Linked DNA regions of Mus musculus: region 1 is reported to be linked to region 2. Evidence: microRNA targets listed by miRTarBase, many of them from high-throughput screens and not tested one by one. Region 2 holds a microRNA gene; the other region holds the end of a gene's coding sequence.

Region 1 (4,000 bases), not on the chromosome of region 2:
AGGGCAGACGACTCCTTTTCCATTTCCTTCTAGGCTCAGCTTCCTCATGTCAAAGTCCATGCCTACTTTGCTCCAGTCACCCCTCCACCAGCAGTGGCAGGAAGTGGACATCGACTGTGCAGATGCTGTGTCATACTCTGACAGCAGCTGCTTAGGCCACGGGCCCCATCCTCCAGGTTAGACCAGTCTCCTGGCTGTTCCATCGTCACCCTATCTCGACTCTCCATGGTGAAAACATTACAGGTAAAAGACTTCAGCACAGATTACAGTACCTGGTAATGCTATTCACCTTAACACTGCTAGGATGCAAGCAAATCCAGGTCTGTGTCATCCACAGCAAGAGTGGTGTGGTGCAACCTAGAGCCCATCAGAGGTGGGTACCTATGTATACAAGTCCCACCTGGCTTTGTCAGCATTCTATATATACACCTTCAGTGTTAGCACAACCTGAGCAGAGTAAAAGAGCCTGCTGGTTTCTACCTGATCCTTAAGCCAGTGGCCTAATGTAATTCACAGCAATTTCTGTCCATCTGCAGGACTTGTCCACTTTAAAGACTAAATAGCACCTTTATGAACGTGATTGTACTGCAAACTCAGAATGGCTGGTAGTTTCATATGTAGAAGTGTGTGTGAAAGGCATGTTAACATACTTCCATAAGACACCAAAGAAACAAGGCCTCTAAGCTGGGTGGGGCAGGATCTTCACCTTTCTGTTTGTGTCAACTCGTCATACCCAACTCTAGGGACCAAAACCACCCCCTTTGCATTGATCCGCTGGGAATTACAAGCTCTGCCAGATGCCACAGCACACAGTGCATTTCTGTTAAAAGGAAAAAGCCAATTATGTCCATCCACACTTCTCAAAAAATTTGCGGGAACCTTAAGCAAATCCAGAATTAAGGCTCAAGTTATCTATAATCAAGTAAAAATAACAAACAGATGCATGTAGAATGGATGTGGTTTTTATTTACTCTGAATTTTTAGAAATCATAACTGTTTTAAAGCTTGTCAAATGAATGACGTATTTGCAGCTTCAGACTCACAACACCTCACCTTGCTCACTGGAGTCAGATTTTTGCAAATGCAGGCACTCCTGTCCCTGTCCCAGGATGCTGTCTTTTACTATTACGGTGCTGCTGCTCTGTGCCACTGAGACCTCCCACCTTCAATATTAATAATGGTAGCTGAACCTTCCAGCAACCACCCCAACCACAACTGCAAGAAAGAGCTTTTTCTGCCTCGGTGGACAGCACTGAAGCATCTGCATAGATGCAGTGTCTCCGATGCACTCTGGGAGGGAAAGCAGATACACACACATTCCAGAGACTCATCAGGCGAACGGCTCCTTGTAAGGAGTACTGTGATACGAAGGGTACGACTACCACAACAGCTACTTAACTGTGGCGCTGTGTGGGGGGTGGGGGGTGGGGCATGGCTGCTGGAGGAGCTGCTAAGTAAGCACTAGACCTGCTCCAGTGACTCGTGAGACTCACTTCTATGAAATACCCGAGACAACTATGGAATTTTTTCTGAGCTAGAATGATGTGGCTCATTGCAGATGGTGGACTTGATGCTCAGTGACCATGACTTCGAGCCTGATCTGTCTCTTCTAAGTATGCAGCAGGCACTTACTGTAACTACTTGTCTTGAGTTGCATCACCTCTGTGGAAATTGGGATGAACATCTTACACCATGCACATCGAGGCCAACCCTTGAGTCCATGTGACTTCAGATGACAACAGTGCAGCTTAGATTTGAAATGAGTGACACGTTTACAAAACAATCAGAAAACATTTATTACACTGAACTGTACATCCTATAACCAAAGTAGCAGACTGCTGGTGCCATGGGCCAGGTATAGTTTCACTGAGACGGCCTAGCACTTTGTGCTGCTCAGCACAAGTTCAAGTCTGAGGAGCCTGTAAGTACTTTCACCCCACTTCTAAAACCTGATAATGAATTCAAAATAATACACAGCATTAAATGACATTTATTGTTCCATAAATCATGAGATCCAAAAAGGAAAGCTAAATAGACAAGCAAAATTCTAAAACAATTAGGAGATAAGTCCACTTCTTTCCCAAGTAAGTGAATGGTACAGAAAGCATGTGGTCACACAAAGCAAAGGGAAGGACGGATGGGAGCGCTCCCTCCTAAAGGGCCTGCAAGGCTACAGCACTGCCAAACCCAAGAGGAAAATTATCGAGACAGTTTGTTTTGTGGCAAGTAATTAATCCCCAGTATGAATAAAACAAGCTGTTAAAGCCTTTACCCATTGAAGTAGTCTGTCTTCTGGAAGAGATTTCATTTAAAATGTAATTATTCCTACCCACCTGAACAACAAGGGTCAGACAAGCGCATTCACAGCCAGCAGCTAAGCAAATGGGCAAAGATGCTACAGAATTAAAATGGAAAGAAGTTTTTAAAAACTCGGATATGCCACAGGCCTCACGAGAGGTCGTGAGAGAGAGGAGAGGTGATGGCCGTGTGCACGCGTGACTCACAGGCACACCTGCTACAGACAAAGCATGAACGATGCAGAGTACAGAGCCCCCACCAGCCACCATCTAGCCATGATTGTACTGAAACTCGGTATTTGGGCGGGGGGAAGGTTTATGATACATTTTAGTGTCTTGTTATGACATCTAGTGTTTCCAGGGTAATTTTGTCTCATTAAAAAAAAAATCCCTTTAATATCAGAGACATGATACTGTTTCCCCATCATCTAGTTCTGAGGTCTGGGAAGGGCTTTAGACATGTTTAAGAACAGAGTAGGCACAAGACAAGGGAGTATACACACCTGGAGGCTCAAGTAGGGGGTGGGGAGACGAGAAAAGGAAACCACATGAGTTTAAAAGGCAAGGAGGTTTCAAAGGTGAAATCCAGAAACTAAAATGCTAAAACTGGAAGCCCAAGCCAAACGCCCAAGCCTCGGTACCTATTAGGACTTACACTGACCTCGCACACGGAATGGCTGACAGGGAGTGCAGTCTGCTCATCTGCTCGGCTCGGCTCGGCTCGGCTCGGGTCTAGCAGGACCCCTCTGATGTCCACCTTCAGGAAGGAGCTAAGCCTCTTACCTGACCCATACGGCCGTGTCACCCAGTACAGAGCAGCTCCCCCAGAGGCAACTCTATCTCCTCCCCAGGCCAGCATAAGGTTCAGGCAACAAAAGCCAAACTGGCACAGAAAGGTAAATGCCCACGGTTGAGTTTTACATTCAATTCAAACTGCATACAGTGTGAAAAGCAGCAGCAACTGCTCTGGGGGGTTCTGTCCACTGGCCCTTGCCAGGGAAGCAAGTACTTGTGCCCACCACGGTAGAAGCTGGGTCGAATGTCACCTGACATGCTCGCTCGCTCGCACAGGCTCTCTCTCTCTCTCTCTCTCTCTCACGAGGATGCTGGGGCTGTGGCAGTGACACTGAGGAGATTTGCCTCTCCTGCAGCTCCTTAGGAAGGTCATCTTGTGTTTTCAATATGAAACATTTCACAGTAAAATCCAATCCCAAGACTTCTTGGATTCAGTCTTCACACACTTTTAAGCATGACTTTATTTGGTACTGGATAGAGTTCAGTCCGTTTAAGGTATCACTTCAAAATTATGTGAATACCATCATTATTTTCAGCTGCAAAAAAAAAAAGAGGGGGGTGTTAAAACTTCTAAGCTTAGAAGAGATACAGTATTAAAACTGACTGCACTGTTCTAGCTCCTCTTCCCTCAGACACATTCCCTGTAACTCTGCTCAGGGAGCCCAGCCTGCATCATTTGCCAGCTCTATCTACAGGGCAAGGGCTTAAGAGAGCAGCAGCAGATGCACTTGTATGCTAACGCAAAATAGGCCAAAGCACCATGTGAGGGCAGAGCTGAGAAAGCCCTGCAGAAAATGTGCAGGCAGCCTGCAGGTTCTGCTGTAGATGGGTCTCTTTGCTGGAAAACTGAACCCTCGGAGGTAGATATAGCAAGACCTAATGGCCTCAGGAAGTCCTGAGACTCAGTG
Region 2 (4,525 bases):
CAGCTCCCAAGTGAGCCAGACAGTTTCGCCCACCCAGTACTTTTGATTTTGGACTGCTAATGGATGAGATTTGTGTACAGGAGACAAAAAGCCAACCCAGTCTAAAAGCAGCATTAAAAATTGGCCTGCGTTTAGCTCTTTGCAAGACTTAATACTGTAAAATAAAGTTGTAAGAGAGATGTCGGCAGAGAGGATTCAGTCAGGAACAGGAGCTCCTGGGCATTCTCATGCTGATCTCGGGAGCTCAGGAGAGAAGATCAAGAGAACCCCTTGTAAATTAGACATTTTGGGGGATATCTGAGGGGTGTCAGATGTTTTCCCCAGTCTGACAAAAAGCCATTAAGAGCTCACCCTTGTCACACACCAAACCTACCCTCCTTCGTCGCAGTATTTGTGTGCGAAGGACAAAATGTCAGAGGCACGTCCACTGCCATCGCAAACCACCACAGGGACAGGAGGGTCTTCTTTGAGATACTCCAGGACGATAGAAACCACGTTAGGACCACCTTCTACCACTAGGCCCACGACAGGTACACCCTGGCCCAGCCCTGCAACACAACCACACTTGTTGCTCACACAAACATGAACAGCTCCAACTTGCATTAAATGCCGAAACAGCAAAAAGCACAAACTTCCTGCCACAGGGCTTTCCTTGTAGTGCTAATGTTGACCAATGCTTCGACTAAGTCAAGCGAAGGGTGACTGTCTTCATTCTTGCATTCGAACTTCATATCATGGCCCCCCACTGTAAACTCCAAATTTCAGAACTCTTAAACTCCCTGACACGCCCATGTGACCCAACTCTGGTAAAGAATCCAACACAGGGACACCCGGCCAGTTTTAAAAGCATTGCTATGAAGGCTCCTTTTCTGCCTGCCTAGGTGTGAAATGCTAGGGGCTGTCTTCCAACAATGATCCAGTATAAGGAGGGCTGGACTGAGCCAGAGGGGAATTCAGCCCAATCTAGGGCCTCTCCTCTATCAGTAAAGCACTGCTGGACCATTCATTAAAGCGCCATCTCTCAGGTGACCAGTTGTAAAAGGATCAGGACCTCACTTATCTCAAGAAGAGCAACAGACCTGAAATATAAGAATAGATTTGGCTTTTACGTAGTGTTTGGGAAGTCAAAGAGGCACTCGTGTGGTAGTCTGCTCTTGTTGCTGCCTCCAGAGCCTCGAATACGGGAGAAAAGGTTGAGCATCACCCGTCCCCAAGACATCTTCCAAGACCAAATATTTGGATTGGAGATGATCATTGGTAAAGGGTATGCAAATATGTCCAAAATTTATAAATCCAAGACTAAAACACTTCTGGCCCCAGGATATTACCTTAGGGGTAAAAGCGTGGAGTACTATTAGCCCATTGCCAATGGCTTATTTCCAGAGTCTACTCTGATTTAAAATAAATAAATAATATAATTCTTCAAGGGCACAGTAGGAATAGACAAATTTTTGGTGATAGATCCAGCAGGAAGTGATGGGAGAATTCTGGAAGCTGAGATAATACTGGGGGGAAAGTGCTGGAGAGGAGGCTTCGTGACAAACTTGCCTACTTCAAAATGTCATCTCTGCCTGGCCAGAACATATTATAGAGTTGTTCCTAGGCATCTACTAGGGATTGGCTCCAGAACCTTATAACATCCCCCTGGACACCAAATTCAAGATGCTCAGGACTCTTATATAAAATGATGTAGCAGCTGCATGTATCTTCTCCTGTGTGCCTCAAGCCATCTCCAGGGGACTCATAACGCCTGGCATGATGCAATGACATGAAAGTAGTTATTATATTGTGTTTCTGAGGGATAGCAACTGGGAAAAAACTCCATACACATTAATTAAAGACAGAATTTCTCTCCTGAATGTTTTTCTGTCTGTGACCAGTGAAGTTTTGGGCTTTGGACCTTGGCAACACCCAGGCTCACTGACTGCTGATCAGGTTTTGCTTGGTTTCTGTAGTTGTGAGCAACATTACAAGAGACAAGAGGAAGGAAATGTCCTTGATGTTATGGTTCTCAAGAGCTTCCGATAAAATCTGCCAGCACGGGCTATAAGAAGCCTTGAGACTATCAATGAGTGAATTCAGAGTCTCTCTTTTTCTACTTTGTTTTCCCCAGTGGATACTTAAGGATTCAGGATAACTTTGTTGTCTCCTGTTAGAAGAATTACAGTTGAGTTTATTCCAGCCAGCAAATGGTGAAGATATGGCATAGGCTAAGCCAGCAGTTCTCAACCTGTGGGTCTCTACCCCTTAGGGGAGTCACGTATCAAATATCCTGCATATCAGATATTTACATTATGATTCATAAGAGTAACAATGTTGCAGTAATGAAGTAGCAACAAAAATAATTTTATGGTTTGAGGGGTCACCACAACACAAGTGACTGTATTAAAGGGTCAGAGTATTAGGAAGGGTGGGACCCACTGGGCTAAGCCATGAATAAGAAATAGTGGAAAATGAAGCCGGGCGGTGGTGGCGCACACCCTTAATCCTAGCACTTAGAAGGTAGAGTCAGGCAGATTTCTGAATTCGAGGCCAGCCTGGTCTACGGAGTGAGTTCCAAGACAAACAGGGCTATACAAAGAAACCCTGTCTCAAAAAAGAAAGAAAGAAAGAAAGAAAGAAAGAAAGAAAGAGAGAGAGAGAGAGAGAGAGAGAGAGAGAGAGAGGGAGGGAGGGAGGGAGGGAGGGAGGGAGGGAGGGAGGGAGGGAGGGAGGGAGAGAGAGAGAGAGAGAGAGAGAGAGAGAGAGAGAGAGAGAAAAGAAATAGTGGAAAATGGATCAGGGTGGCATCGTCTGTCTCTGAGATTTCCATCCAAGCGTGCTTGGGATTTTTACATCGTCAGGATCATGGCGACTTCATTTCCAGAAGCAGAGAAGAACTTGCTCTTGGCTCAGGCTAGGCTTCTGAACTCTCTGCAGTAGAGGTGACCACTGAGCCCCCCTTTGCTGTCCTTGCCTCACTCAGAGGCCTAGGCAAAGGATGACAAAGGGAAGCCCACAGGTCACAGGTCCAAGCAGAATTTACAAGTCCAAAAACACTAAATCAAACTGATTTATCCACCAAGATCTGATTCTTAGGACCTCCGCACTCATGAACTCACAGTGTGGCTGGCTGCACAGGATCAAGCCGGTCAGTATTCCAGCATGAGGGTGGGGAGGAGTTGACAAATTCCCTTCTGTGGGAAGGGAGTCAGTTTTTTTTTTTAAGTGTGCGGCCCTGATAGGTTGACCACACTCTAGTGGATGCCCCCACACCTGTGATTGCATGGTCAGAACAGTAGGAGTCAAGTAGTCATTTCTTTAAAAGAGGACATGAATTCAGGGGCTGTTTGGGAGGTGGGGGTAGATCTGGCACAAGTAGGGGAGGAATAGAATAATTGTATAAAACTAAATTGTATAAAACTCTCAGAGAATTAATAGAAATAGTTTAAGCTGATTCTTGGAAATCTATAGCCTTTAGGAGTAGGCACCCCAGTTCTAACCACTTGAGTGATACCACACTTCCTTACATTCTGACATTTTCCTAGTTCTAGATTGTGGTGCACAAAGATATTCCTGGTGATGATAAGAATGAAATATTCTGTGAGATCATTTCATAATTGTCTGGCAGAAGTTTTGCATGTGGGCATTTCCCAGAAGGTTATGGGTCCTCTCATCTGGTTGGGAGCCAGTCCTTTCTCTCTAATTTATCCTCACATTTCCCCCCAGCAGTGAGCTGTGCCATCTGGACCACCAAGTATGGTGACCATCAGGAACAGATGTCCCTGTAGCCAAGTCCAAGGATTTCCTTATCTCACCATCTTAGTCCATGTGGGAGACTGAGAGCTATAGAGATATGTAATGATCCTACAACACTCATTGGGTCACAATCTGAATTATACCAAATCTTTGGGAACAAGTTTTTAGGTTTTTTTTTCCTGATAAAACATGAAGGAAAATAATAGCAGTAAGTACACTGAACAAGACCGAGGGCAACATGGTGGGCAGTGCCATCACCATGACAACCATGACAAATAGTGCAAGGGTAAGTCTCAGACCAAATTGTGAACCTGGGCAAAACATCCCATGACTGCTCTGGGAGGGTGATTTGGTAGGTGGCTAGGGCAAAGAGTTTGAGCATAGTCCATGGACCTAGCAAGAATCAGCACCCTCTGGTAATTTCCTTCTCAGCTGGTTTCCACCCTGGTAGAGTCAGTCCCGAGCTGGTGCCCATGGCCTCCCAGGACTTACTTGTGTTGATCTTCTGCAGGGAGATGTGTTTTTCCAGCTGTCTTCGAAGCTTCACCTCAGCACCATACTTGCCCAGGGTGCCGTTGTCAGCCAAGATGAAGTGAGTGTGGGAATTGTTGAGCACAGAGAGCTTGCTCAGAGGGTTGGACATGGTCTGATAGACTCTTGTTACCTGACAGAAAGCATGATGTGAATCAAAGCTGCAGAATTTAGATATTAAGTGTCATAGGAGACACAAGAAATGAGTGTAAACACACAACATATAAACTTGGTTTTGTTTTTTGATACAGGGTTT

The links. The annotated mature microRNA mmu-miR-211-5p reads UUCCCUUUGUCAUCCUUUGCCU and lies in region 2 at 2,972-2,993, opposite strand. An mRNA with a match to its seed (bases 2 to 7 or 8) in the 3' UTR can be bound and repressed. Matches are read on the target gene's strand: a 7mer-m8 pairs with bases 2 to 8, a 7mer-A1 pairs with bases 2 to 7 and ends in A, and an 8mer does both.
Region 1: miRTarBase lists Ubp1 as a target of mmu-miR-211-5p. Seed matches in the 3' UTR shown: 7mer-m8 at 2,686-2,692.

The regions. Positions count from the first base shown.
Region 1 is chr9:113,974,974-113,978,973 of GRCm38, reverse strand. It overlaps Ubp1 (upstream binding protein 1), which reads right to left. Exons shown (of 16, transcript NM_001372510.1): 16 at 947-3,628. The coding sequence ends at 3,591. Fbxl2 (F-box and leucine-rich repeat protein 2) reads left to right here. Exons shown (of 15, transcript NM_178624.6): 15 at 34-2,016. The coding sequence ends at 141. Among named protein-coding and RNA genes, the nearest start is that of Ubp1, 46 kb to the right of the region's middle.
Region 2 is chr7:64,204,299-64,208,823 of GRCm38, reverse strand. Mir211 (microRNA 211) reads right to left here and starts at 3,018; the gene lies at 2,913-3,018. It overlaps Trpm1 (transient receptor potential cation channel, subfamily M, member 1), which reads right to left. Exons shown (of 27, transcript NM_001039104.2): 6 at 4,231-4,402; 7 at 374-548.